4 linked regions of the Notamacropus eugenii genome follow. The protein of the gene in region 3 purifies or fractionates together with the protein of the main gene of each other region. This does not show direct contact. Links are inferred from orthologs where the notes say so. Each region holds a gene or a part of one and is shown on either strand. Other genes may lie near its edges. The genes, in order: ZMYND19, ARMC8, MKLN1 and GID8.

The links.
Region 1: the proteins of MKLN1 (region 3) and ZMYND19 purify together in Homo sapiens (affinity purification with mass spectrometry; 3 studies listed by BioGRID and IntAct, with this or other methods). This does not show direct contact. The link is inferred for Notamacropus eugenii from reciprocal best matches to the Homo sapiens genes MKLN1 and ZMYND19.
Region 2: the proteins of MKLN1 (region 3) and ARMC8 purify together in Homo sapiens (affinity purification with mass spectrometry; 4 studies listed by BioGRID and IntAct, with this or other methods). This does not show direct contact. The link is inferred for Notamacropus eugenii from reciprocal best matches to the Homo sapiens genes MKLN1 and ARMC8.
Region 4: the proteins of MKLN1 (region 3) and GID8 purify together in Homo sapiens (affinity purification with mass spectrometry; 4 studies listed by BioGRID and IntAct, with this or other methods). This does not show direct contact. The link is inferred for Notamacropus eugenii from reciprocal best matches to the Homo sapiens genes MKLN1 and GID8.

What each region holds. Positions count from the first base shown.
Region 1 is NC_092872.1:494,368,445-494,376,067, forward strand, and holds the start of ZMYND19 (zinc finger MYND domain-containing protein 19), read left to right. Parts: upstream 1-4,614; 5' UTR 4,615-4,800; coding exon 4,801-4,851; intron 4,852-6,615; coding exon 6,616-6,675; intron 6,676-7,157; coding exon 7,158-7,264; intron 7,265-7,623. UniProt on the Homo sapiens protein: May be involved as a regulatory molecule in GPR24/MCH-R1 signaling.
Region 2 is NC_092876.1:329,187,940-329,195,667, forward strand, and holds the start of ARMC8 (armadillo repeat-containing protein 8), read right to left. Parts: upstream 3,004-7,728; 5' UTR 2,786-3,003; coding exon 2,621-2,785; intron 1-2,620. UniProt on the Homo sapiens protein: Component of the CTLH E3 ubiquitin-protein ligase complex that selectively accepts ubiquitin from UBE2H and mediates ubiquitination and subsequent proteasomal degradation of the transcription factor HBP1.
Region 3 is NC_092874.1:119,238,862-119,246,708, reverse strand, and holds the start of MKLN1 (muskelin), read left to right. Parts: upstream 1-4,833; 5' UTR 4,834-4,919; coding exon 4,920-5,017; intron 5,018-7,847. UniProt on the Homo sapiens protein: Component of the CTLH E3 ubiquitin-protein ligase complex that selectively accepts ubiquitin from UBE2H and mediates ubiquitination and subsequent proteasomal degradation of the transcription factor HBP1.
Region 4 is NC_092872.1:499,008,464-499,015,351, forward strand, and holds the start of GID8 (glucose-induced degradation protein 8 homolog), read right to left. Parts: upstream 3,019-6,888; 5' UTR 2,880-3,018; intron 2,612-2,879; exon of another isoform or gene 2,496-2,611; intron 1,095-2,495; 5' UTR 1,083-1,094; coding exon 965-1,082; intron 1-964. UniProt on the Homo sapiens protein: Core component of the CTLH E3 ubiquitin-protein ligase complex that selectively accepts ubiquitin from UBE2H and mediates ubiquitination and subsequent proteasomal degradation of the transcription factor HBP1.

The sequences.
Region 1 (7,623 bases), on a different chromosome or scaffold from region 3:
TAATAAAATATATAAGGAAATATAAATTATATATAATATAAATAAAAATATAAAATCTATAGTCTTTATACAGCTCATGAGTTTCTACTCTGTCTGTGCTTCTTTCCCTTCCTCATTTCAAGGACCAGGACCTCCCTGTCAACACATACACAGATTAAATGGTGAAATACTGTGATCACAAAGTTTCTTGTAAATAAAGTGATTCCAAAAGAAATAGACCAACCACTCCTTTATGGACACAACTACTACCAAACATCTCCTAAACCTCCTCCTGTTTGCTTTATAAAATTTTAGGGTGTGGTACAGGGAATTCTTGTATCTCATGGAAAAGAATAGTGGAAAGGGGTGATTGTACCCCATCTGAGGATCAGAGATTATCAATAGGGGAAATCAGGGGGAGATGGCAAGGAAAATCAGTCTTGCTCTCCCTCCTCCCTCATCAATCACTTAGCTCACTGGCCCTATGGGATTCACAATATCTGGAGGCTCAGAAACTTTGGATCTTCTCTCCTCCTCCTCTTCCTGCTCCTCCTTCCTTTCAGCTCCATCCTTGCTCCAAGATCTGGATCTCTCTCACTGGCCTGGTGTTTGGTAGTCTCCCTCGCTGGCAGCTTGTGCCTCTGGCCACAGCAATAGCAGCATTGGTAGTACCAGCAATTGAAGCCTCAGCTGCCTCATGAAAGCCTAGGCATTTGCATGCAAGGTCAGTGACAGGAAGGACGCCAATCCAAGATGCAGCATCCATACAGCTTGTATCCCTATCCTATCACATGGCACCCTGCCACAGAACCTATTGCTGGATATTTTCTGCTATTCACTCTCTACCCAGGAGAGAAGCAGAGTATCTCACTTCTGGAGTGGTCTCACAAATTGGGTTGAGTCTCCTGTAAAAACTTCCTGAACGCTTGCTTGGGTTCCCATGGAGATTAAAAGGTGATATAGAAATGCTGGCTACAAATGAATAAAAGTGAAGGCTATATTTTACATATATCTACCATATTTTCCCAAAGAGTTTGTGAGCTCCTTGAGAACAAAGACCATGTCTTCTTCCTTCCCACTCCCCACCCCCAGCTCTGAACACAGAGCTTGGCGCATAGTAGCTGCCTAAAAATTCTTGTAAGACTGAATAAAGAAAAACAGAATGGATCTCATAGGGAGAAGGGGCATTGCTTTGTTTATGTCTGTTCATAGAGTGGCACCAAGGGACCAGCTGCTTGATGTCAAATTCTCAAGTATTGGGGGGAGGGATGGAAGCACACAACTTTAGATCCTTGAAATTAGTGCTAGACAAAAAGTGTTGGTTCCATAAGGGCTCTGATCTGAACAAATTTCCATTTGAGTTTGTACTACTCAGGAAAAGTAAGGAGTTCCGAACTGCAGAGGTCAGGCCAAAATAGAGGGCACAGAGTATAGGAAACAACCTTGAATTAACCATGTAAAGCAGAGTTAGAATGTAATGGATTATATGATACCCAGAATCAGTAGGATTTTAAAAAATAGCTTTTATTGATATCTTTTTTTTTTTTACTTAGCTTAGGTTTTCCCCTTCCAGAGAGACCCTTGTGTCTTAAAAAAAAAAAGAAAAAAAGGAAAAGAAAAAAATTCAACTAAACTGATCAATAAGTTGAAAAATTTCAGACTATATGCAATGTTTCATACTCATGGTCCTCCCCTACATACACATATGTGCCTGCGTGCAGCCACGGACAAGGTATCTTCTCATAGTTCTTCTTTGGCCCCAAGCTTGTTCCTTTTAACTTCACAACCTTCATTTTTTATTGTTTGGTGGTAGTTATTCTTTCCATTCAGATGGTTGTAGTCATCGCTTTTATTGTTTTCTGGGATCTGTTTATATCACTTGGTATCAATTCATGAAAGTCTTCTCTGTGCTCATTTCTTATATAGCACAGTAATATTCCATTACGTTGATGGACTACAGATCTTTATCTCTTTTCTCTTTGCCCCCTTTACTTTTACAAGGAATTCCAGTGACAACATTAAGGAATTCATGGGGAAGGCAAAGATCTTTGAGGGAAGCCAAGGGAAGTTCTTTCTTCCTTTCTGGACTTACATTTAGGCCCTAAAGGTGGTGAGCTGGATGCCTGGTGGGAAGGGTGTTGGGGTAAGGAAGTTAAAGGTCACAGTTATTTGGGATCTTGATTTCCTGTAGTATCACAAGGAGGCAGAGCTATAAGTAGAGTGGGATAACTACAGCATTGTCCAAGGAGCTAGATTTAGAGGACCTCAGATTTAGTGGATACTGACAGAATTTACAGTACTTCAGCAGTTAGAAACACCAGAATTTAGCACATAGTTAGTAAGAATTAAAATGGGAAGTTAGCAACGCTGACTTGGGATGAACTCCTTACCATCCTGCTCCCTAACAATTGAAGGCAACCCAGAAGCATAAACACATGTATTAGGATACATAGGATATTCATGGCACATGGTTAACACTTACATAATTAAATAATATAAGGATCCAGAATTTAATCTGTGTTCCTATGGATTATCCACTAATACTAATTACCCACTAATACCCACTATACCCACTAATATTCTGACCCCTCCAGGCCTTAGTAGATGCTTTCATAAGTTGCTATAGTCAAACAAAACATTCCCCATTATCTAATTGCTAGCCTTCTGGTGATGGATTTCGGCAAACTTAGGTAGGAGGATCCTTTGACCCCTGGCAGACTCACAGCCTGGTTCTTACCGGAACTCCAGATTGGCCGGATCTTCCAGAGTATGCACTGATAAAATAGACTTTGGGGACCCAAGGTCAACTCTATACCACAATGAAGCTGGCTGTAGTGGAAATAACAGTGGACTTGGAATTAGGTATGACCTGGGTTAAAAGTATACTTCTGATGCTACTTACTAAGTTATATGGCCTTGGACAAGCTTAAGCTCTTTGAGCTCTTTGAGCTTCTTCAGTCCTTGTGGAGACCAAACGAGATCATGCCTGCAATGCGATTTGCAAAGATTAAAGTGCTGTATAGATGACAGCTCTTATAAATATGTCTGGTAAAGGAAACTTGATGGCTAAGGGGAGCTCTCCTAGGCTGCCTTGGAGAAGCTGGTCTGCTTTCTCTCAGTGTCTACTAGGAGAAACATCTTGGATAGTCTTCAGTTGTGGCTTCCTTTTCTCTGACCACAGGGCCTGTGGTGATTGGCTTGAAAGGTCATTTGCCATGAAAATGTGATAAGAAGGATCCCTTGTGCAGGCTCGAAATGTAGGAAGCTTTCATTTGTGTGCACAAACCCCAAATACCCACCCATCAGGAGCTGCATCAGGCCAAGCTCCAACCCAGAGACAGCCAGCACATCTAACTATCCTGAACCAAGCGTTGCCAATCAGGATCTTGGGTTCGTTGCTCTTAGTTTCTGCACACATCATTGTAGAGGAAGATGTGAAGCACCGCATCCGTGTTAGATGTCCTTCTCCTAGGCACCAGGGTGATGCCAGATTTTTCACAGAAGAGTATATTCTCATTCACCAGGCCACATTTTTAACAGCTGCTGTTACTGACACATAGAAGGGCATGCAGCTCCTGCTGGAGCACCAGGTCTGGAACCAGAACCTGCCTGCCTCAGTTTCCTCATCTGTAAAATGGAGATAAGAACAGTACCTACCTCCCAGGGCTGTACGGAGGATCAGACCAGACAGTGACTGTAAAATGTTTGGCAAGGCGCCTGGCACATAGTCAGCACCCCATAAATGCCAGCTGTTAGGAAGGACTAAACGCGGGGAAACAACTGCCTTTAAACGAATTTAGTGTCAGCGTTCTAACAAAGAAGTGTTGTTTTCCAGTGAAGGGAAATAGTTTTCAGTCCCAAGTCCCCTGCCTCCTCCTCTTTTGGGGCTAGCTAGGCCTGGGCTGGGCGGGGAAGGAAGGGCAGGAGCTTGAGAGAAGCCGCAGGCTTCAACCACGGCCGGGGGCCTGCAGAGGGAGCGGTGCAAAAGGAACCGGAGGCCGGGGGACGAGGGAGGCCAAAGGCTCCCGCGAGCCGGGAGACCCGGCTCTCAGCCTCGGGTGGCGTCCCGATGAATCTCTAAGACCCGGCACTCCCCCTTCTGGGCTAGCTCCCCTCGAAGTAAAATGAGGCGGGGGGCTAGAGGGCCTTGAACGCCCAGGGTGCTCTGAGATGTATAACTCAGACCCTCCCGGACAGGGAGGACCAAGCAAGCGTGCCTGCGGCCCGAGAGACCACATGGACCGAACTCCAGACTCGATGTCTCGGGGACTCTGCGGCCCCTTTAAGGGCACCCACACTGCTCCGCCCCATTCCACCCCTATGGAGATTCTCGGCTGGGTTCGAAGCACAAAGCTTCCCGCGAAAACTACGTCAGAACGGAGCGCGCGCGCGGGAAGCTCCTCCCCCCCACTTCTTTCTCCCCTTTCCCCTTCCTTTGGTCCTCCGCTGACTCCGGTCTCCCCTCCTCCTTTCCCCTCCCCCTTAGTGGACCGGCGCACTCCCTATATTCCTATTGGTCCGTAGAGTCCGGCGGGCGGTGCGGCTCTTGATTGGTCCGAGTGCAGAGGGCTGAGGGGGGTGTGTCCGGCGCGGCGCGGCGCGCGGCGCGGCCCCGCCCCTCCCCTGGCTGTGTGCGCGAGGCGGCTGTGGCGGCGGCGGCGGCGGCGGTGGCGGCGCGTGGCAGGCCCCGGCCGGCGGGCGGGAGGAAGCGGTGGCGGCGGCGGCGGCTGCGACGGCCAGGGCCTTAGCCTCGGCCTCGGCCCCGGCCTGAGGGAGAGAGGGATCGCGGGTGGTGGCGGCTACGAGCGGGAGGCCCTGGCCATGACCGACTTCAAGCTGGGCATCGTGCGGCTCGGCCGAGTGGCCGGGAAGGTGAGCGGCCCGGGGCTGGGAGGGCGAACGGAGCGGGCGGAGGCCGCGGTCGCCATGAGGGCCCGCAGAGAGACGGAGGCCTCTCACGGGGGGCCCCGAGCCGGGGAAGTCCAGCAGCCGAGGCCGCGCTCCAGAGCTCCGAGGCTGCTGATCCCCGCGGGGCCCGCCCACCCACGGCCCGGGAGTGGCCGCCGCCAGGGTGTTCCTCCCTCCCCCCGGTACGGAGCCGCTTGTGTATCCTGGCCAGGCCTCAGCCCCCCGACTTCCAGCGAGGCCCCAGGGCGGCGGGGATGCCCCCCCCACCCCCGGCCACCCGACCCTGGCAGCCCGAGTCCTCCAGCCTCACCGGGGTGTCAGGTGTCAGGCTGTCTGCTCCACTCCCCCCACCCCCGGGCGCTCCGGCTCTTGGCGTGAGCGCTGAGGTCTGTGGTCCAGCGGAGGGCCAGTCCGGGGCGGCTGAAGTTTCGAGGAACGTCCAGGTTCCCGGGCTCCGTGGGATACAGCAGCATAAGTCTGGAGGGGTGTTTAGGTGTGAAGGGTCTGGGGGCGCCCCGGCTCTGGTGCTGCTTGCTTCTTGGGGTAGGTGCGGTCTAACTCCCGCGATCCCGAATGCTTCTGGGGTGCCTGGCTCGCACAAGCCTCCTTGAAGGCTTGTTTTGTTGAAAGAAAGGAAAAAGGTGTTGTGTGCCAGGTTCCAGGGTTTCCTGGCTGGTTCTGTGGAATGATCCCCGTGACCTTTCGCTGCCCGAGCGAAGCCCACTAGGAGGATAAGTGCATTTTTTTTCTACCTGTGCTAAGGTCACTGGATTGAACTAAGGAGTTTGCCTGGGGAAGCCAGTGAGCAACTAGTTACACTGTTGTGTCACACTGGCCTAGAACAGTAGGGGGAGCCTGGGGAATTAGTGCCATGGAGCAGCACCTGAGCCAGATGTAGGTGGCACTTTACCATCATCATCTTCTTCATAGCTAGCATTTCTAGAGTACGTGCTTTAGGGTGAGTAAAATGTCATGTAAAAACAGGCCTCCCCTCACCTCTTATCTACTCTTCTTGCTTTCTCCTTGTTTTCTTCACCTGATTTCTCACTCTGTTTTGTTCCTCTTCCTTTTACATATTTTGTGTATGGATTAAACCACCAGTGGTACCTGTGAACATTTTTGCTCCCTGGTGCCACCAGCACGTTCTAGTTGTTGACTGCCTGGTCTGGTGAAAAAGTCTGGTCCAGGAAAGCCTTGCTGGTGGCTTCCTGGTTGGTTCTCTTGTGGCTAGCTCTTGATAGATGAGAGAGGCAAGTAGAGTAGGGGACAGGCCCCTTAAGCATCGGCGGCAATTGGGAGTAAAGCCATTTCATTTACATGAAGGCTGGAGGTCTGTACACATGAAGAAATTTAATGGGAAGTTTATTTGTCTTGATAAATTTTTCTACTTAAGTTAATCTTTTTGATGCAGAAGAGGAAGATTCTGATAACTATCATTCCAAGACATTTATATTTAGTCTGATGACAGTGCTGATTTTTGGCCTGTGCTATGCAAAACATTTAGTACCGTAGTGAATTCCTTTACTTACTATTATTACCTCCCCTTGTTATTTACTCATCTAATTGAGGGCAGGTGAGTCAAGGTGATTAAAATAACATTTAGTTACCATCTAACTTCAGAGTTTAAATGTGATTCATAACTTCCTATTGCAATTATTTCACTGTTGGTCTTAACCTAGCTTTGTTCATGATAAATGTAATTCTTTACAATGTCTGGTTAATTTTCAGACAAAGTACACGCTGATAGATGAACAAGACATCCCACTGGTGGAGAGTTACTCTTTTGAGGTGAGAATGGTCTGTTCCTGGGGTTGGGTTGTGGTTGGACATTAAGAACCTAGAGAAATTATGAATACATTTTAATATTCTTTCTTCCTGCTCGTACTCTGGGAATGAGATTCCTCTAGATGAATAACTAACGCTAGTTCTGAATCACTTCAAGACCAGAGATGACTAAGTCAGCTAATTTTGATCAATTTTGGTAGTCCCTGACAAGTAGAACTATACTATATCCTATATTCAAATTAGAATTTGTATCAGAAACTTTGGTTTCTTCTTTCATGGCCATGTTTTTAGGAGCAGATGATTTGGGTCCAGTTTTTGTTATCCCCTGTACCACTGACGTCCATGAGGACCAGATGGTTTTTTTCCCAGAATACTAGGGATTAAGCTAACATTTTCAATGGTTTTATTTCTTTTTTCCACCAGTTTGATTTTGAAGTGTTGTTGCAAGATGGATGATTTTAAGTATTTTCCTTGTCCTATCCCAGGCCCGAATGGAAGTAGATGCTGATGGAAATGGTGCTAAAATTTTTGCTTATGCTTTTGACAAAAATCGAGGAAGGGGATCTGGACGTTTACTTCATGAGTTGTTGTGGTGGGTATTGTGTAGAGATCAATATTTCCGTCTTTTATTTGGGGTGTGGCTAGAGTTTGTAGAGTCTGCCACTTATCCATCCAGTCTCCTTAGTCTCCCTGAATAAGTCCTGTGTGATCTCTGATATGTTGGGTGGGGTGTCTGAGAGTAGTTTTAAGAGCACCAGACTGCACTGTGTATTAGACCCATGGTGCTGGAGGGGAAAGGGGAAGTGCTGCTTTTTTTCCCTTTAGAATCTTATGTTCTTCTGCTCAAACTTTGTGTGTAATAGAGAATAATATGGATTACAGAAGTTTCCAAAGACAAGGTGAACATGCTGCCTTGGGTCTTGAGGCACTATCAAGCTTTTCTCATGAAAG
Region 2 (7,728 bases), on a different chromosome or scaffold from region 3:
GTATTATTATTCTAAGTGGGAAGTAATAAATGCTATACTAAGTCATAGCTGTGGGGAAAACCAGGAATAATAGCAGCTTACATATATCTATATGAGAGGCATCAGTGGATATAGTGGATAGAGCAGGCCTTGAACCAGGAAGACTGGGTTCAAGTCCTGTTTCTACAGCTACTGGTTATGTAACCCTAGGAAAGTTACTCAAACTTTTGGTACTTTTAGACAATTCTCTAAGACTAAGTTGCAGAGAAGATGCTGAGCTACCTTGGGGATACAAATGTAAAGAATGAAGTAATCAATGAATGCTTTCAAGGCATTTACATTCTAACATAATTTCATCTCCTATATAAATAAAATCACAGGTCCAATCCCTATCTTTATATTTATGTAGTACTCTGTCAATATGTTTAATCTGAGGTTATGGCAGAACTCCCCGGTGTATATGTCCAGCAAGAAGCTAGAGATGTAAGACTGCAGCTCAGAAAAATCCTCAGGTTGTAGGGACAGAGAATTGTCGCCTGTAGAGAAAGTAATAATTAAAGCCAATGGAACAGATAAATTCTCTAAAAGAGAAAGTATAGGGGAGAGTTTTCAGGCTGAATGAAATATAGATGAAGTAGTGGATAGAACACCAGGCTTAGAGTGAGAAGAAAGTTCAAATGTGACCTTAGACAGGAACTAGTGTGAGCCTGGGCAAGTCATTTAACCTGTTTCACTCAGTGTCCACATCTCTAAAATAGAGATAACAATAGCATCTCACAGGATTGTTGGGAAGATCAAATCAGATAGTACTCCTGAAGCATTCTGCAAAGCCTAAAGCGCTAAATAAATACTAGCTAGGATGATCATGATCATGATAACTCTTGTTAATAGGATCCTAAGTTTTGGATTGGAAAGAGCCTTAAAGTTTATCTAATCAAATCCCCTCATTTTTCAGATGTGGAAACTGAAGTCCAGAGAGTTAGGTAACTTGTCCAAAATCAAACAGGTAGCAAGCGGCGGAGCCAAATCCAACTTTCTCTCCGATGAAATGCTTGTTGAGCTATCTTCTGATTAACAGTTCAGTTTCCCAGCTACCTCAATACTACAAAAGAAATCACCAGAATAGTGTACATCAAGTTTTCAGTCATGTAAAAAATGTGTCAGCAAATTTAATAAAATGGTATCCTGGATCAAATCATCCCTCTGTTTGGACAATACAAGCAAGTTATCTCAAACACCAAACAACTCACGGTGAAATGAAGTTCTGGACCTACAGAACTGTGAAACCATATCTCAAACTGTGGCAACTCCACAAGCAGGCTGCATCTCCTGAGATAAGAGCTAAACATCCACTTTGCCCTATCCAACAACGATTATCACAACATGAATTAGGAGGCAGCCCCTGAAGACCGAAGAAGGTGGCTTCAGAACAAAATAAAAAATTACTTTTCACTGCAGGTAAATACTTAAAACTTAGAGAGATGCATGGTTGATAGCACTAAAGAAGTTTATTTAGAAGTTAGGAATGTTCATGGTACTCTACTGACCTGTAAACTGCATTGGGGCAGAGGCCATGCCGAATCTACACTCTATAAGTAACCTCTAGCACAGAACTATGCTTACAATAGTTGCCTAATAAATATTTATTGAACTGCTGAATCTATAAGGATGTGGCTGCTAAAAGAAAACTATCATTATACTCCAAAAAATATTTTTTGGCGTCATTGTCAGAGACAGAACAATGGCCTGATCTGATCAGGATGAGAACACTTGTTCTTAGACCTTTGTGTTGAGTTTGATAAGTAAGGTATATAAAATTTATTAAGATGGACTTAGGACAGTGTCATGGACAGCTGAGGGTAAACTTTTACTTAAAACTGTAATACTTGCATTGTCAATACACTATATTACATCTAGAATAGATAAGAAGAGGTCCCCTTTCTCTAGTTCTGAGGTGTTTTGTTCAAAATCCTCCCCAAATACGGTATCCGTTAAGGAAATGGGGATGTAGTTAATTTAAAACCACAGAGTCAAAGGGGCCTCACAAATAAGTCATCTGCTCAAAACCCAAAGCATTAAAAAGGGCACAGAGAGGAGGAAAGAAAAGCATAGGAATAAAGAAATGGGAGGGTCTCTTGGGTCAAAAAAAGGAATCTGCTCCAATTCCCCACCCCACATAGAAATGCTTTCTAAAACACCTCTTAACAGCCAAGCGGCCATCCAGTCTCCGTTTGAACAGCTACCTTAATAAGTTGGCCGCTTCGCCAGTCCTATATCCAACTACTTTTGGACAGCTCCAATTGTAAGGGCTGCAAAATTTCCACCACTGGTCCTGAAATTCCGACCTCTCTCCAGCAAAACCGATCGGTATCCTCCCCTCTAAGTGACAGCCTTCCAAGCGCTGGAAGGCCAGGCTTACAAGGGTGCCCTCTCCCCGAGCTGGTGAACGTCTGGTCACCCCCTTTTTATTCTTTGAACTCCCTCCAAGGAGTTGATCTGTCGTTACCCCGGGCGGCTCCAACAGAGAAATGACCCCATGGACAGCTCCAGATAAAGGAGGTCGGACAACAAACACTTTCACCGGACTTGCAGCATGAGCCCCCCTCCTCCCAACTCAGCCGCAAGCGACTCCCGCACGTACCCGGATACCAGGCTTGGCCCCCTTGAAAGTCGCGGGGTCCCCAGCTAGGAACCCCGAGCCCGGCAGGCTGCCCCAGCTCCTCCCCTCCCTTGCAGCCCCTCCGGGGCTCGTCAGGGAGCCGGAGGGAGGGGGCCGCCCCACTCTCCCGGCAGGGAGACGAGCCATCAGTCTCCCTCCGCAGCCAGGTCTCGGGGTGGACAGATCTCCAGGCGGCCCCGCCGGCGCCGGGGGCTCCGGGTCCCCCGGAGGGCCCCGCTGCCTGAGGCTGATCTCCGACTCCCAAGTCCCCGCAGCGAGCGCTCCCCAGACACCTCCCCGGAGCCCGGCCGGCTGAGGAGGGAGGGCCGCCCTGCGGGGGACGGGACGGGAACCACGGAAGTCGTTGGAGAACGTGGCCGCGTGCGGAAGGCGGCGGAGCGGCCCCCTCCCTCCACCCCCACCCCGGGCAGCCGCCGCGGGTCACTCACCGAGAGGACGCTCATGCGGATTGGGGTCTCCAGCAGACACGCCATCTTGATCCTTCCCACCGGGTTGGGGTAAGGCCGGGGATGGCTTCGGCACTTTCGACGGCGCCTTCCCTCCGCCGCTGCCAATACCTATCCCTGGTGGAGAGGCTGGCGAGGGAAAGGTGCGCGCTGCTTCAGGCGCGGCCGTGGCTCCGGGAAGGACTGTTAATAAGGAAAGGAAAAAGAAAGAGGAACGTTCTAACGAATCGGCTGTTGGGAAATAGGCATCAATCTTAGTTGAGGGGATTGAGACGGAGGGGAGGGGCGGTGTTCAGCAGTTGACGCATGCGCCTGGTGGGAATGGCTCCCGTGCCCACCCTCCACCTGGGCGGGGCAAGGTCTTTGCGCACTGAGTGAGGGCCCTCTAGAGGATGAGAGTTAATGAAGTGTTTTTCATGTTCTCTTAAGAGAAAACTTTTCTTGGGTTTGGAACTGTCAGGCACCTTGTCCAACCTTCTTATTTTATAAGTGACGAAATCGATGTTCACAGAGATTGAGACTGGTTCAAGGTCACACGGATAGTAACGTAAAATAGGGGTCCCGTCATGGGCTCCTTGAATCCCGCTCTGGACCCTTTCCTGTAGGTGTGTAGCCGTTGGAGCGCTTCTCAAAACCCTACAGAGGGGGAGACGGAGACAGGTGAAGTGACTGAGCCAAGGTCGCCTCGTTATTTTGGTATCTGACCCCTAAGACTAATGCCAGGTATTCAAAGTGAAGATGAACATTGAGATAATTATATAATTCAGAACAAGTTATATAATTCAGAAGAAAAAAAGTCAAACAAGTAAGGATTTAACCTTAGAATGGTATATGAAATACACTAAAACCCAAAGACTCCAGCTTCTGAGATAAGAACTCCCTATTTGACAACAGCTGCTGGGAAAACTAAAAAATAGTAGAAAGCAGAAACTAGGCACAGATCAATATTTCACACTTACCAAAATAAGGTCAAAATGGGTACTTCTTTTACACATAAAGGATGATACCATAATCAAATTAGGAGAGCTAGAAGTAGTTTAGCTATATGATCTATGAAGAAGGGAAAAATTTATAACCAAACAAGAGATAGAGAACGTTATGAAATGCTAAATGTATAATTTTGATTACAGCAAGTTAAAAAAAGGCTTTGCACAAACAAAGCCAATGCAGCCAAAATTATAAGGAAAGCAGAAAACTGGAGGGGGAATAAAATTTGGCAGCAAGTTTTTTGATAAAGGCTTCATAAATATGAAGAAAACTGAGTCAAATTTATGAGAATGCAAGTCATTTCTTGACTGACAAATGGTCAAAGGATATGAATAGGCAATTGTCAGATGAAGAAATCAAAGCTATCTGTAGTTATATAAAAATGCTCTAAATCACTATTGACTAGAGAAATGCAAAATAACTCTGAGATACCACTTGACACCTATCAGATTGGCTAATATGACAGAAAAGAAAAATTATAAATGGTGGAAAAGATGTGGAAAAATTGGAACTGATGCATTGTTGGTAGAGTTGCAAACTGTTTCAACCATTCTGGGGAGAAATTTGAAACTATGCCCAAAGGGCAATCAAACTGTGTACCATTTGATCCAGCAATAATACCCTTATGATATCCCAAAGATATAAAAAAAAAGAGGAGAAAGAACCTACATGTACAAAAATATTCTTAGTGGCTCTTTTTGTGGTGACAAAGAATTGAAAATTTAAGGGAATACCCATCAGTTGGGGAATGGCTGAACAAGTTGTGGTATATGATTGTAATGGAATACTATTGTGCTATAAGAAATGACATGCAGAAAAACCTGGAAAGACTTACATGAACTGATGCTGAGTGAAGTGAGCTGAACAAGGAAAACATTGTACACAGTAACAGGAACATTGTGCAGTGATCTTCTATAATAGACTTAGCTCTTCTCAGCAACATGATGATCCAAGAATTCCAAAAGATTAATGATGGAAAATGCTATCCAAATCCAGAGAAAGAACTCTGGACTCTGAATACAGATCAAAGCATACTATTTTCACCTTTTTTTGTTTGCTTTCATTTTTTTTCCCCTTTTGTTCTGATTCTTTTTTCACTTCATGGCTAATGTGGAAATATGTTTCAATGATTCCACATCTGTAACCTATATCATATTGCTTACTCTCTTGGGAAGGGGGAGGTAAGGGACAGAGGGAGAGAAATTTAGAACTCAAAATCTTATAAAAATGAATGTTGAAAACTATTATTACATGTAATTGGAAAAAAAATACATTTTACAAAAAAGTAAAAAGCTAAAAAGGTTAAAACAGGAAACTGCACTAAGACTTATGGTACATCTTATAGAGTGGAAAGTATACTGGACTTGGAGTAAGGAATTCCTTGATCTACCAGATAGATACTTGGGGATGATCATGTCCCATTCCATGCTTACAACCTGTACATTTGAGTGCTTTGATTTTCATTTCACGGTGGAAATAACAGATCTAAACCAAAAACAAACAAAAAACCCAAAAGACCCAAAGTAGAGAACTGGCTAAATAATCAGTAGACACCCTTGATCAATCATGGTATAAAAGGAAATAAAGTGAATTCAATCTCTTAAAATCTTTTACTGGTGATTTTATTTTTACAATTAAATTTTATACATGAATTTTGTCAGTCATTTTGAAGTAACCCACTACTTTTCCTCTACATTCAAATTTCCCTGTGATAAAGAATTGCAATTTAAGCAAAAACTGTCCGGTGTAGCAACCACATACTTTGTTTTATATACCTTTGATGAGGAATCTAGAAAAGTTGCTATTTCTAAATTATCCCTTTAAATGAAGAGATTGGAGGAACTGAATCAAAGAATAGTAAATGGATACAATCTTCTAAATCAGAGCCACAAATTTGAAGTGGTTATATTATAGGATTTAATATCTGAAAGGTTTAGAATAATAGATGAAATTGTGGACCTTTTGACCAAAATTATGATCTATTTAACTTCAACCTGTTATTTCAAATAGTCAATGGGCTAAAACTTATGTCCATTCATAAATATGACATTTTGTAAGAATAGCATAACTACAAATAGCTATGACAAACATTTATAAGAAGAGGCAGGACCTGAGAACTTCAAACTAATGCAACTTACTTTCCGACCAAGCAACTGACAGAGCTATAGTAGAAAGCATGGCATTGAACACAAGTATAAGAAACTATTAAAGGAAATATTTTCAGGGACCTTCAGTACTTCTATGGATCTATGATTTCATTGATATGGGTATGTACTCACTCTTTGGATCACAGCACATCCAAGATTTCTCAGTCTGTGTGAGTTTTGTCCATTCTTCTGATGGTTTAAATTTTTTTAAAATTTGTTTTAATCAGCCAAAATCTGTCTTTTCACCCTCTTGCCCTATCTGCCCTACCTCAATTGAGCACATGAGAGAAACAAAATGCAGTATGCAAATGTGTAGTAACCCAAACAAATTTCCACATTGACCATGTCTTCCTCCTTCCCCGCAGTGGTCTCATTTCTCATTCTGAGTCACCTCTTCATTAGGACATAGGGACCACATTTCATCATTAGTCCTCTGGATTCCTGGATGGTCATTATGCTGATAAGAATACTGTACTAATATTCCATCACATTTATATTCCAGAATGTTCATCCATTCTGCAGTTTATCCCTCAGATAATTCCTCAGCTTTCCATTCCTTCCACTTCAAAAGAGCTGTAAATATATTTGTACATCCTTAGAGTTCGGTTTTGTTTTTTTTTTTTTGGCTTAAGACTAATCCCTCCCTAAACTGGCCCTCCCTCTAATTCTCTCTCCTCCATTTTCTCATTTTCCTATTTTCCAGTTGAATAAAACATATTCTTCTATCCAAATCTCTTTATGTGTGTGTGTGTGTGTGTGTGTGTGTGTGTTCTTCCCTCCTTTGACCAGTTCAGATGAAAGTAAGGATCAAATATCAACTAGTCACCTACCTCATCCCCTCCTCTTGTATAAATGTCTATTTGTGCACCCTTTATTATTTGAAATAAATTTCCCTGATCTTCCTATTCTTCCCCACCCCCCATAGTGTATCTATCCCTCTTCCTCCTTTCCATTTTTTAAAAATATCAACAAGATATAACAGAATTATTCCCAGACCTTGTTTAATTGAATTCCTTCTAAGAGTCCCAACTCTTCCATAATGATAGGGATCAAAGAGGACTTATATCATAACTCTATATTTTAATATGAGTAGTTTATCCTCATTTAATCCTTTATCATTTTTCATTCATGTTTACCTTTTTTATATTTCTCTTTACTTCTGTGTTTAAACTTCAAAGTTTCTCTGTAGTTCTGGACTTTTCATCAGGAATTCTTGGAAGTTCTCTATTTCTTTAAAAGTCCATTTGTTCCCCTGTAGCATTATACTCAGTTTTCCTGGGTAAATTAATCTTGTGTCTTCTTATTCTCCTACCCTAACCTCATATAAGGAGAGGACATGACCCTAGGGCATTGTGAAGTCTTTCAGTTCCATTGGAAATGATGAGATAGCTATCCTGGGCACCTTTCTAAAATGAAGGATCTGGGAGGAGTTCTCTATGTCCACTTTCTACCCTTCCCATAGAGAGGTTTAGGGCTACTGAAGTGGTGT
Region 3 (7,847 bases):
GTAAATTCATCTTAATTTTTTATTTTAGTAATTTGATTTTTTCTTCTCCTTTATCTGATTAACCAAAGGTTTGTCAACTGTGTTACTCCTTTTGAAGAACCAGAATGTAATTTTATAATTTCTATAGTGTTTTTGGTTTTTTATTTCTAATTTTCAGAGTTTCCTCCTTTGAACTTCTACCATCTTTGTGAGTTTGATGTTTCCCTGGTTTTAAAAATTGCTAGTTCAGCTCATTAATTCTCTCTCTTATTTAACTTTTGAAGTGTATATTTTCATAGTAGAATTTTTTCCTCTGAGTAATGTTTTAGGTATACCTCCAAAAATTTGTTAAAAGGGCTGCTAATTACTGTTCTTTTTAACAGGTTCTAATTGCTTCTTTGGTTTATTCTCTGATCCATTCATACAGGATTCACTGTTAAGTCACTATTTTGGTCTTATCTTTTGCTTCACTATTTCTATTGTATTATGGCATATAGATGCTGTATTTCGCACTTTGACCTTTTTACATTTATTTACTTTCTCTGTGCTCTATTACATGGTCTGTTTTCGTAAATGTACCATCAGGTACTGAATAATATGCATAGTCCATAATATTTCCATTTAGAAGAACCCATGTTTTTCAAATCTAACATTTCTAACATTTTGTTTAGTTTATATCTTCTTCCTTTATCTGTTTTAGATTTATTCAGCTTTAAGAAAACAGTAATGTATCCTATAGTTATTATTACCATCTTTATATTTTTGTAATTCAGTTAACTTTCCTTTATGAATTTAGATGTCCTCCCATTTAGTGCATGTGCTCAATTTTGATAATATTTCATTTTGAAGGGTACCTTTAAGCAGAATATAGTTTTCCTATTTATCTGTCTTAACATTGAGAATTTTTATTTTTGCTTTGTACAAGAGCATGACTGCAACCTCTGCTTTTTTGAAATCATGTCAAATAGTAAATGCTGTTTGAGCCTCACTTTGATTATATAATTTTCATTTTTTAGATTTTTTTGTATGTCAAAAATTGGTGGATTTTGTTTTCTTATCTATTGTTATCCTCTTTTTTTTTTTATTGAATTGTTTAATCCATTTGTATTTAAGGTAATGATTGTTAGGTTTGTGTTTTTCATTTATTTCTTTTGTATTGATTTTTGTTCCTTCCTTTTTTAAGTCAGCTCTTTGTACCTTTGATTAGTTTTGGTGATACTGCTTTGATTCTATTCTATTCCCACAGGCTTGTCATCCTGGCTCATTTACCTGATATCCTAAATTACCTCAGTTTACTTAAGATGTTAATTTTTCTTTCAAAATTGTTAAAAATATTCTTCCACCTCTCACTCAGATAAATATGTATTCCATAATTTTCCTTTCCCCTTCCAACTTCTTAGATTAAGTAGCATTCTTTTGTTGTTCCAAGAAATTTTCACTTGTTTTTTTTCTGTTTTCCTCATTTCAGTATTTATTATGCATTCTATTCTCCCATTCATTGGCTATACCTAGATCTTTACCTGTTATTTCTTTATTCTATTTCCTTCATTAGAAATGGACTTTCTAGAGTCCCAAATTTGATTTTCTTCTCTCCTATTTCTGGAATTGCCTTTATATATCTTATTTACCCTATCCTCCTTACCACCCATTATTCTATATACGTATGTATTAATTTACCTTATTTTTGTTTTGCTTTTGATGGGGTCTTCTGCTGTGTCCTACTCTTGGAGATGACAATTAATAAAGAAGGAAGCACATAGTGACAAGATTCACTTTGGAACCCAAGTCATGAAGCTTAATCCTATATCTGGCCCTTATCATGATCACTCACCACTTTTCAGACCAGATAATTCTATCTCCAAATCTCCTTACCCCTTGCCAACATGGGTGCTGAATTTTATAATATGTTCAAAGCTGTCCATTTTGCCATTTTTTCCCTGAAATTCTGTTCTCTAATTTCCCACTGAATTTCTCTACTAAAAAAACCTGGACCCCTCCTACCATTGCAGTCTTCTTATACCTTACTCCCCATTATGTACTTGGCTTTCTAGTGACACTGACCTTGCTCTTTCTTAAACAGAATTCTTCATATCCTTCCTGCCTAGGAGGCTCTCCCTTCTTATTGCTGTTTTCTAGCTTCCTTCAAGTCCCGGCTAAAATCTTACCTTCTACAAAAGCTTTTCCCCTGTAATACTAGTGCCTTCCCTCTGGGGATTACCTCCAATTTATCATTTATCCATCTTTTTTTGTGTTTAGTTGTTTGCAACTAAATTGTGAACTCCTTAAGTTTAGGGACTGTCTTTCACATTTCTTTGCATCCTCAGTGCTGAGCACATAGTACATAGCAGGCACTTAACAAATGCTTCTCAACTAATATCTTTTCTTTTTAAAGTTTAATTACTCTTATCAAGTACTTTGGAATTCATTTCTGTTGTTTCAAGATCTCTGGGAATTTGCAGAATATTTTTTTCCATTGGGGGATTTATCATTCATTCCCTAGCATAATAACATAGCATGATAGTTCAGTTTTTTTTTTTTGGTAGTTTGTATGCATTTTTTTTCTTTTGCTGTTGATCTACTTCGTATCTAGGCCTGTATCCAGCCTTTTTCTTTCTCTTTCAGTTTTTAAAAAAAAATGTATTTTTAGTAACTTGTCTCTGGCTTCCCTCCTCATTCTTGTCCCTTTGCCCTTCTATTGCTATGGCACAAAATGTCCTCATCGTCTTCTGTTTGGGGAATATGGGAGATTTGTTCCCTGCCCAAAGTAAACTTTCTTAACTCATTTATGAAAATAGTTCAAAATCTTCCTTCCCCCATGGACTTACATTCTTTCAAGTGGCTTCGCAGAATTAGTTCCTTCTGCATCTTGTCATGGGGGTATGTATATGTGTGTGGGGAGAGGGTGTTTCAGGTCGAGCCCCAACTTTTCAGGGACTGGGAAGGCCTGCACAGATGGACCCTGAAACACAAGCTTGTGAGGTTGATTGCACTGGAGCTGGCTAATAGCAGCTTTATGTGTTTTAATTCTCTCATGTAATTTCATGAGGCATTTTCTTCCTCTAGTGTTTGTTACCTTGCTAATTCAACTGTAGTTACTATATATTAAGCACATATTTTGACTTTTTGTAGGTTAAAGTTACATAGGGAAAATAAATTACTGAGTCATCTCATTGAAGAGTCACCTCAAATTACCCACTATTTACCCTCCATGTGGTACTCAGCTTTTCTGTATCATTCTCTACTGTTCTCCTTCAACTGTTCTTTCAGTATCTCTAGGCTGAGATGGAAGATGATGGCCTCATTCATCATTCCAGTTTAGATATAATCTCACTGTTTCAATGTGTAATTAATGACATTTTAACTGAAAAATTTCCTGGGGTAGATTGCATATTATGTCACAATACACAAATGACTCATGTATACATTTACATATTAAATATATTTGTGATTCTTCCAACCATTTCTTGAAGCATGGGATCATTTTAGTGGGGGCTAGATTTCTGATGCTTTCAGTTTTTTGCTCCAGTAAATGAGGAGATGGGGATAAGATCTTCAGAAATGTGGGGAGTAGAAGACGGTTATAGGAGCAATCAAACGTGGGGTAATAAAAACAATCCTGGAGTATCAGGAAGCCTATATTCTACATACTGCCCCTGCTACAGGGCAGCTGTAGGACTTTAGGTAAGTTGCTTAGACCCCACTAGGCTGAAATCCTTTCTACTCTAAGAAATCATCCCTTCCATAGCATTTCACCGTCTATAAACTAAGAGGTTTCTGATCTTTTGGAACATAGCTGGAAGGCACTTTAGAGATCATCTAGTCTATCCTTTTCGTGTGCAGATTAGAAAACGGATATGCACAAGTTAAGTGACTCGTCCAAGGTCACACATACAGTAAGAGGAAGCGAGGTGACTTGAGTCCAGGGCCTTTCTCTCCATCCAGCATAGGGTGCTGGGGCCCCTTCCAGCTCCGCAATGACGTGATTCTAACGATCCTCTCTGAAAAGTTCAGCTTTTGGAGGCCTTGTCTGGAGCCCACTTCTGTCTCTCTTGCCAAGGCTGGCAGCGCGGAGGCCGTTCCGGGCTCTCAATCTCCAGCCTCCTAGGTTTTCCTGACCCGGGCTGGCTGGCCGGGCCCTCCCTGGAGTAAAGCCGGACTCGGACGCCGGCCTTCCCGCGAGCCCAGGGCTACCTGGATCGGCCAGGATCGGGGAGGATCCTTCGGCGGCGCAGGGGGGAGACGGAAGAGGGGCCCGGCGGCCGGGGGGGGTAAGTCCGGGGCCAGAGCGCCATCTCCGGTCCGAGGCAACGCCAAGGGGCCGGGGGCGTCGGGGCTCCGGGGAAGTTACGGACCGCTTCAGTTCAACCCGCGTTCCCCCCATGCCCACCTCGCGCCTGCGCGAAGCTGCGGAAACGGGATCCACGGCCCCCCGGCCCCGGCCCACTCCGCTCCCCAGGTCCCGGCGCCCTACCGGCTGTGCTGTTCAGTTCTAGGCACACGGGCAGACACGTGAGGAGGGGGAAGGGAGGGCGAGCACCCCGTGGGCAGCAGGCCCTCATTCTGCCTCTCTTCCCTTTCCTCAGTCCTTCGCCCCTGTGCCCTCTCCCTGCCGCCGTCCTCTCCCCGTCCCCAAGGTCTCTTTTCCCCAGGTATCAGCCTAAGGAAACACAAGAGTCTCGGTTCCGGGCGGCCTTAGGTAGAGGCGAGGACGGCGTGTCTCTACCTCCACGGGGTCGCCCCGGCTCCAGGCGCACCCGAGGGAAGGATGCTCCGGAAAGCGTCGGATGCCGAGCGCAGACTCGCACCTGGCCGCGGGGGCCCGCCCGCCGCGCCGGATGGGGAGGCGGCCCCTTTAAGAGCAGGCCCCGCCCCTGCCCTCCCGTCCCCTCGGCGCTGCCAGCGTCGGCGGCGGCCGCGGCGGCGGGTTGGGAGCTGACAAGATGGCGGCTGGCGGGGCTGGTGCTGCGGCGCCTGAGAGCCGGCTGCTGCCTTACGCGCTGCACAAGTGGAGCTCCTTCTCCTCCACCTACCTCCCCGAGTGAGTGCGGGGAAGGCCCGGGGGGCAGTGTCCCGACCCCGGAGATGGCGGGGCGGGCGAGGGGCGGGCGGCGGAGAGAGGCCCGGGCCTGCTGCTGGTGCTTGGGCTGCTGCTGCCGCCGCTGCCGCTGGGGGTGTGGGGGGAGGCGGGGAGGGAGGCGCGGCCTTCTCTGCCCCCTGGCCCGGCCGAGCCCGTCCTCGTCTTCCCGCCCCGGCCCTCCTCGTCTAGTCTGGGCGCAGGCATTAGGGCCGCCGCCGCCGCCGCGCTCGGGCCGAGCTGGCGGGGGACACGGCGTGCGGCCCGGGAGGCGCCGGGAGCTGGGGCGGGCGGAAGAAGAAGTCTCTGCGGGGTCGAGGACCGCGGAGCTTCGGGGAACCCCCCGGAGTGGGCGGCGCGTTGTTCCGGGAGAGAAGCTTGGGAGCATGGCCTGTGAAGTTGGGAGGGGGGAAAACTTGGGAGGCCAAGAGCGGGGCGAGTTCAAGTTCTCCAAGGTCCCGGGAGGGGGAGGAGCCCGCCCGGGGGGGGGGTACCCGGCGGTGACTGCGGACGGGTCAGTGCAAAGCGGGCCATCCAGGAGCCCTTGGGAAGCGCCCGGGCCAAAGGCGGCTCCCAGGCCGATAGGAAAGAGGGGGCTCCGTCTCCGGCCCCCAAGCGTCCGGAGCGTGCCCCCGTGCTAATTTCTAGATCTCAGTTACCGCCTGCAGAGGCGGGGGAGGGCTGATTATCCTCCAGGTACAGGGGAAGAAATGGACTCCGTCAGTTTAGGACGTGTGAAAAAAAGGAAAAAATGGAAGAAAGTCTTTCCCCTCTCCCAGTGCTCCCCCATCTTGGCAGAGTTTTTGTTTTAAGACCTCTGTTCCCCCCCAGAGTTTTCCCGTGGGTCTTCGCTGTGCCAGGCAGCATTGTTTTATAAGCAAACCCAAGTGTGGAGTCAAAAGAGATTGGAGTTCAGTGGGTAATAAAATGGAAATAATGTCCATATTTTACCTTGCCTCTCAGGGTTGCAGGGTTGTTGTGAACATCAAACTAATATACCTGTGTAAGCTGTTTTTATGTTCCTAATTTGACTTGGAGCTTTAAACAAGTATGTGATCTGTGTTATATAGGTCATGTCCAATTCTCGCCCCCTCAACCCCGTAGTTTCATAATATTTAGAAATTATACAGCTCTAGTGTGGTCACTAAAAGGGCATCATGAAACTGCGACTAGGACAATTCAGTCCTTTTGACTCCCAGTCCATTACTCTGTCAGACCACAGTTTGACTGGAAATCTTTTGCTTGTCACAGGATCCGGTTCACTGAATGGTGCCAAATGACCTATGGTCAGATTAGTTTTTTGTGTTATATTGACAGCTGCCCCCAAAAACCTCTTTCTCCTCCTGACTTTCCTGTTTTTGCCATTGATGTCACCATTCATATAGTTTTTCATGTTGAAGACTTTACTTGTTACCTTTGACTTTTCTTTTTCCTGTATTTTTTAAATCTGAGATTTCTGTTGATTCCACCTCAGAAACTTTCCCTCAAAGTGAGGTTGAGTGTTACTGTCATGGTCACACAGGTAGTGAGTCTTTGAGGCGGTATCTTGGAAAATACTTATTAGCCTTCCCTCTGCACGTATGACCACTAGCCTCCTTTGGCTCTCATTGCCTCCCCGTGTGGAGTCTTAGGGTAGAATCTTATTTGGTGTCCCCTCCACGAGTCTTGACTCTCTGCAGTCCATTCTTTAGTAGCTGCCTGATTAATCTTTGCAAAGTACTGGTCTGTCATTCACTTGCTCAAGAATCTTCAGTCCCTATTACCTCTAGGATAAAATACACAAAACAAGATGACTCCAGACCACCTTTTTAGGTGTGTTTTATATCATGTGCTTTATATTTCAACCAAATTGATCTACTTGTTATTCACCTAACTTGGTACATCTACCAAGGTTTCCTGTTCCTGCCTTTGCAGAGGTTCGTACTGGAAATTTCTGTGCTGGAAATGCAGTCTTCTTCCTTGATATTTAGAATCTTTAGCTTCTTTAAAGTTTTCTATGGGAAACCATTCCTGAACTCCCTAAGTAGTAAGTGCTTTGTTCTTTCCTCAGATTATCTTTTTTTGTGTTTGTGAGCTGTATCCCAAATAGAAGGTAGGCTCCTTGAGGGCAGGGGTTGTCCATCTCCTCACAGTGCCGCCTCTGTATCATCATGCTCTTCATTTCCATTTGTTTGTCCAGATCTAGTCTATCATTTATATCTCTGTATGACTTTATCTAGTTGCATAGCTCAGTTTTTAAAAAAAAAAATCTTCATTTTTCTCCCTTATGTGTTCTGAGTCAGTTTCAGACTTTTTAATCTGGAAAGCCTTCCTTTTCATTGTTCTCCAGCTCCAGCCAAACTAAAACATGAATGTATGGTGCATTTCCTCATGCTTTTCTCAACGACTGGAATGTTCTCCCTTTCCTATTTTCCGTTGTCAAATTTCTACCTGTTTTTTAAAATACTTGACACTCAAACTCCAGTTTGAGGATGAAGTCAGAAAAGCAGTCTAGCCCTCAGCTGGAGTGGGGACAAGATAATTGGTACATTGCTTCTGCTTTCTTTAGCTTTCTCATTTTTGAAAGGTGTGAGATAAGCTATAGTACCCTATTGAACTGGCAATAAAAGGTAGGGGCTTAAACAGGTGTACCTGGTCCTGCAGTTATTCTTTGAAGTATCATAGTCTAGTTACTACTAGACTACTAGTACTTGAGGTTGGGAGCTGAGACATGGTTGTTGTTGAGCTCTTGAATTGTTATGGGTCATTACTGCTGTATAAAAACTTGGACATGATGTGATTGAGTTCAGTAATG
Region 4 (6,888 bases), on a different chromosome or scaffold from region 3:
CACTAGTTTTTTAAAATATTGTTTTTTAAAGTTTTATTTCTATGTAATCATACTGCATCAGTGATGAAGAAAAGGTATTTTGAATGCTGTTCCAAAGTCAAGATTGCACACTTTTAGTATTGTACATCTGAAGCTACTATGTATTTATTTCCTGGGTATATGTCTCCATTTTTCTCCCCCCTCCCACCTTACCAAATATAATATAAGCAGTGTGAGATAAACTGTTTCATTTTAGTCTTTTCACTCCCAGTGCCTACCACATAATTGATGCTTAGTAAGTACTTGGTGAACTGAAATGTTTCTCTATTCAATTTCTAAAGTGTAATCACACAATAAGTGTCATATTTTAAAAATACAATTAACATCAGGATCCATGGAAACTTGGGAAAATTGCAAAAACCAGGGAAAGTTTTTTAAGAATGAAACAGATTTGAATCATTTTAGGGGAAATACGCTTTCTCTTTGTGTGATAAGTATGAACTGTTGACAATGTAAGTAACCATTATAAAATTAAAAAAAAATAATGAATCAGTATGCTAGTCTGCCCCTGTTCAGAGAACTGAACTGGGGACAACAACAAATGGCTTTCAAATAAGGAAGTGATTACAAGTAGCATTTGACATAAAATCAATTTGATTTTTTCTACAGCTTTGATTTCATCTACATATGAAAACTCTAGATTGCCTATACTGAGGCAACCAGTCTGTAACTTATAGGCTTAGAAAGCAAAAATTAGGCACAGAGAGAGGGTAAGTGACTTATCCATGAGAAGACCAGTAGTATCTGTCTGAAGCAGGTCCTACTAAATCCAAAGCTGGCCACCTTTCCATATGGATGCTGCCCATTTACCCAGGACCGTAATAAAAACCTAAAATTTCGCTACTAAGTGATAAAGTTCTGCTTTTGTATAAGAAAAACCAAAGATAATTTTCAAGAATTTATGAAATGTTATTCTCCAAATTACCTGTAACAAGATAGTTCATAATAAGGCGGTTCATATCAGCTCTCTGTATATGTAAGTTATTGAGTTTTTCCATCCACTCATCTTTAGTGATTTCATCGGGTTTTTCTGTGTAACTCATTCTGAACTATTTCTAAAAGTAAAAAAAAAAAAATTAAAAAATTTAGTCACGAGTAATATGTATAAACTGTTTTTTTTTAAAAAGTGTAATCTCACATGCATAGGAATAACATATTATTCATTTACAGTCAGATTAATAAAAGCTCTTATTACAAACAAATGTTAATTCTCCTGGCGAAAACTAAAAGTACCTCAAATTTATGACCTTCATTGTGCAGGAGGAAATTTTTTAAAATTTCTGAAATTTATTCTACTTTCTTCAGTGTTATGCAACAGTAATAGTTGAACACAAAAGGACTAAATTAGGATCTAAAAATTTATAAATTCAAACTGGATTTTTTCCAAACATTTTGTAACTGCAGTATGTTTTTTACATTTTAGACACCAATTTGCATACTTAGATGCCTGGGAATTTTTACATCACAGATTCTTTTAAAAAATATTTTAAAATGTAAGTTCCATTTTTCAGAGATCCAAGATCAACGTTTTAAAATTAAAACATTAAATTGCTATTATGGTAACCATAATTTATGAGTAAATATTGCATTTGAAACTTAGGTATCATCTCTGTTCTGAACAAAGAAATTCCAGTGGAGACATCATCTGAATTGTAACTACTGTACAACACAACTTTCCCACAAAAAAAAATATTCAAATTCACACCTAAACATTTCCCAGCTACTTTAAGAGTTGCCCAACCAAAGGCATTATCCCTAAGTAAAAAAGCAACTACAAGAATCACAAACCCAATATTGAACCAAAAACCTAAAGCTCAACTAGCTGGTACAAAAGTGGTGAAAAACAAATAATTTCCTGGCCACCTTTCCTCGGCAATATTTACCCATCATCTTCTAACTAAGTTAAATGCCTACACGTCCTGTCAACCTAGGAGACAGTGGGCTTCTTAAGGGGTAAGAAGACAGTTTTACCTAAACTGCATGTATTTCCTCCAAGCAGAGTTTCTGATATAACATTTTAAAGCTCATTACAAAGCTTTCCTCACAACACCTCTGTGAGTACAATTCTCAACGCTCCCATTTCACAGACGAAGAAACTAAGATTTAGTCACTAATCAAGATCAGACAGTAAAATCGCACAGGACCATAGATTGAGAGCTAGAAAGGATCTAAGGGGCATCTAATCAAACTCCTCCCCCGAAGAAACTAAGAAGGAAACTGACTTGCCCAAGGTCATATAGATACAAAGTTGCAGACCCAAGATGCTAACCCAGGTCCTTCGACTCCAAATCCGGAAAATTCAAGTCTCCTGCGTCTTCGAGTGCAATTTTTTACACCAATAGCCCACGCCACCTTTTCAAAGATACAAGATAAAAACGGGGACTCTCCCACCCCTTCTGGACTGGGTTTTTCCCCACCGTAAATATCAACACACAGAACACAGGAGGCTGCCTTACTTCGCTCCAGAGGCGCCTCCACGACATGCAGACTTCCTACCAGCAGGCGCCACTACCTTCGCAGCCATCGAGACCAAGCAGGATCTGAGTGCAGCCGATAAGACTGCCCGGCCCGCCCGCTGCCGCTTCTCTTCGCTGCCCTCCTTCCTCCTCCTTCTTTCCATTTCAACTGCAAGGCCGGAGGCCCCGCCAGGCCCAGACCAGGCGCTCTCCCGAGATCAAAACAAATTGCGTCCCTCAGCCCCGGCCCCGCCCACCGCGGAGGGGAGCGTCGGACTCTGGGAGCCCGAGGGCGGGAGGGATGGAGGGAGGCTGAGAGGAGGCCACCCTCGGGCCCGGCTTCCTGGGCCCCCCGCGGCCCCCTCCCCGCCGACGCCATCTTACCGTGAGGATCCCGCCTCCTTGGCTGCGCGGTCTCGGCAAGGGCCCCTTCTCCGAGGCCGATTCGAGGGAGGGGGTCGGGGAAGGGGGAGGGGGAGAGAGGTGGCGGCAGAAGCGCCTGAGGAGAAGGAGGCGGAGGCCGCAAAGGAGGGAAGATGGGCCACCCGCCCCCTCCCGCTCAACGATCTCTCGCGAGAGTTCCTAATTGACAGCCAATAAAATCTTCCCGTGAAGGGATGGGGGAGGGAAGGACACCGGAAAGACAAAATCGTCGCTTCCGCCTTTACGTAGAAACTTTTTCTTTCTGCCCCATTTCCAACTCTCTGCCAGCATTTCCCCAGAGGATGTATGGGAAGAGACGAGAGCCAATCAGAGGACATCTCCAGAGGCCAAAATGGACTCTTTAGGTGAGCGTCGCGTGATGATTGCGTCACTCAGTTGTCTGAGTGTGGAACATCCTGGGGCCGCTAACTCCTCCCACTAAGGCTGTTGGTGAAATTGTTGGTTCAGATCTCGGAGCTGGCGAGTAGGTTGGACTTGGGTTTGTGGCACAAAATGTTGAGCCGAGGAGCGAGTGGGAAACCAGCGGATGTGGATTAATATCCCACAGGTCTGCTCGGCCGAAGAACGGGACACGGTAGTAGGACTATGTTAAGGATCAGTGTGCCTTCTTTAGGGTTCAGTCCAAATTGGTCAATAACTGGATTACAACCGAGTGGACAAGCCCCCCGCTTTTGTTTGGTGGGGGAGATGGGAGAAGGGTAGTTTCGTTCTTCTTCACAGCTCACGAATTGGTTCAACTCTTGGACAGAAGCTTCCTTCAAATTTTGTTTAAATACCGATGCGAGGTCTAGTCTGACCTTCCCCTCCCGTCCTTCCCTTCCAAGTAGTTAGTTATCGACTTAGAACTTTAACCTCTCTCTTTCCTCTCCTCTCCGCCACCCCCACCCCCACCCCCCATCCCTCCAAACGAGAACATCTAGATGGTTGGATCTGATGTTTCTTTGTATCTTCTGTTGGAGCACTTGGCTCTTAAATACTCAAATAGCTCTGTTAACCCATTGGCTGAGAAGTTCCTTCCAATAGTATGGATTGAAACGCATCCATGTCTGTCCACCCACAAGACTTCCAGAGGTAGTTGAGACCTTCCTACCATTCTCGCTTCTGAAAATGGGAGGGTACCAGTGAAACACTGATTGTTCATGTGTCCTTAGCTCTTTCTTACCATGTAACCTAACCTGTTTTTCTGCAATACGATACCTTGATACCATTTTTTACTCCAGAATTAATTTAGAGTTTCACCTTCTTCTCACACCATCCAACCAGACTGTCCTAGTTACTGGTCCCAAGGACATTCCCATCTCCTGCCTTTGCATTGGCAGTCCCCCAAGCCTGGGACTCACTTTTTACATTCCCTCTCTGCAGTTTAGAATCTCCTAGCTTTTATCAAAACTCACCACAACTAATACCTCTATGCAGCCTTTCCTGATCAATCCAGCTACCATTTTGTATGCCTACATTGGGTTCCCCCTGTTCCATTTTTTTTTTATCTTTGTATCCCCAACACTGTATCAAAAACATGGTAGGAGCTTAATATTTTATTGATTTATACAGAATATATAACTTAGATGTCATTCTTGACTACTCACTTCCACTCACTCCATACCCAATCCGTTGCCAAGGACTGTCAATTTTACCTTTGCAACGTCTCTCATATATGCCCCCTTCTCTCCTAAACTGCCAACACCACCCTGCTACTGGCCCTCATCTCCTCAGGCCTGGCCTAATGGGTCTGCCTGCCACAGCTTTTTTCCCCACTCCAGTTTATGCTCCATTCAGCTGCCAAAATGATTTTCCAAAAGCACAGATCCAACCAAGTCACACGTATGGCATTTAAAAAGGTCTGAGAGATATAATTTCTTGAGTAATTTAATCATTTTGTTAATACTGTCCACATATTTATTAAAAGAGGGTAGTCATTTGGCCCCCTCTCTTAGACCAAAGACCACTCATGGTGGTGGGTTCACAGCTTATATGCTCTTAGAAAAGTAAGTGTTCCTGACTAAGGCAATAAACTCTGATTGATTAAAAATTAATGAGAAAATGTGTATTACAATGAGGGTCTTTGGTTTACCCAAATCTTGGTCAAAGAAACTTATCAATTTCCATATCCTGTCTGATAAAAGGAGAATCAACACTTCCCCAGACCTGTCTGAGTAAAAACAATAAGCAGGAATGCACCCATTAACCTAAACTTACAGTTTCTTTTACTGTCTGATTATATCTTGGCCTGGGTAAATCTTTGAGAGAGAGATTTTCCACACTGGTTAATTTCTGGATGAGGAAGTAGAAAGGGGGAAAAACCTTGGTTCTGATTGAATAACTAATTATTAATGCAAGAGAGAAATAATTACTTCTCCCACACATCTCTCCCTACCCCCAACTCAGTAAATTCTAATGGTTCCCAATACCTTCAAAATGAAATACAAAATTCTCTGGCATTCAAAGCCATTCATAACCTAACTACTCCCCCACCTTTCCATCCACACAATAAATAAAATAATTGTTTATGGTCTCTTTATGTTTTTTAAATGCTCTAATCTCTTTTTCCTCTTCTTAAATCACATCTTCACTTGACTTTCCATTCATCCTTCCCCTATTAAAAACAACTTTTTGACAAGTAAGCAGACTCAAATGAAACAATGCCACATAATGGCCCTGGTTAAAAATACATATTTCATTATGCATCTAGAGTCTATCATCTGTGTCCAGCATTGGACACCACGCTTCATCTTCTGACTTCTGTAGTCATGGTTGGTATTGATCAGAGAGTTCTTAAGGCTCATAAATTTTTTCCTTTTTGACATGTTCACTGTATAATTGTTCTGCTTCTGTTTATTTCACTTTGTATCAGTTCAGTACCATTTCTTTTGCCATTTCTTGGCAGCAATAATGTACTCTATTACATTAGTATATTAAGAAGTATTGAAGCAAAATGACTAGAAAATTGGCCTCATTCACAAAGACCTGGTTTCTTGCTCCAACTCTAACAGAGCTTAAGTAACCTTGGGCAAATAACTTAATTTCCTAGTACTCTAAGCAGCTCTAAGTCTCTACCTAGTAGAGAAGGTCATAACCTGCATCAATAGAGGAGTTTCCTTTACCTAGAAGTTCCCTCTACCAAGAAAATCACAGGTTCAGTTCCTATCTTTCATATACATATTTTGTTCAACCACTTATTTTATTCCCTTGTTTTCCAGTTCTTTGCTACGTTAAAATGTGTCTATGAATGACTTTGTAAATAGATCCATTTTCTTTCCCTTTGATCACTTTGGGTCATAAGCTTACTAAGTGGTATCAGTGTATCAAACATGATACTCAATTCTTCTGAAGCCGTTGTATAAGCTACTGCCATATAGTGACATTGTTAATATGTTAACTTTCTTGAAAAGATGGGCCTTTTCATTGGAAGGGAGAAGAAAGAAAATAAGCTTTTACACAGTACCTACTATGTGCTGAGCCCTTTTGGGGGCTTTTTCCACCATTGGTGTTCACCTGTTCCACCCAACTCTCACTTGTGGCTTCAAAAAGCTGCAACATGTGCAGTGGCCACACCTCGGCAAACTGTTTTGGTGACAGGCCAAAGCAGGTTGAGGGTAACCAAGGGGTCTCAAACCCATTAGTGAGTTAGGGGTGTGTCTATCTCAAGCATGTGAAGACTTCCTCTGATGGAATGAGTAGATGAGAACAATTTGTTCCAATGGCCATGAAGGCAGCTGAAGCAGGTTAGACATGGAAGATGCCAAGATTATCCACTGCAGCCTGAGCCATCACCAGCTGTCTTGACTCTGTCCTGCCACTGGACTATGGTGGCACTGGAGGAGAGAGTGAGGCTGATGACTTTGTGCAACTCTGCCTCACTTAAATCGAATTTACTCATGAATCAAAAGACATCACCCATACCCTGTGGTAGAGCATTCCGAGCTCATATTGGTCTGATCAGCCACAGTCG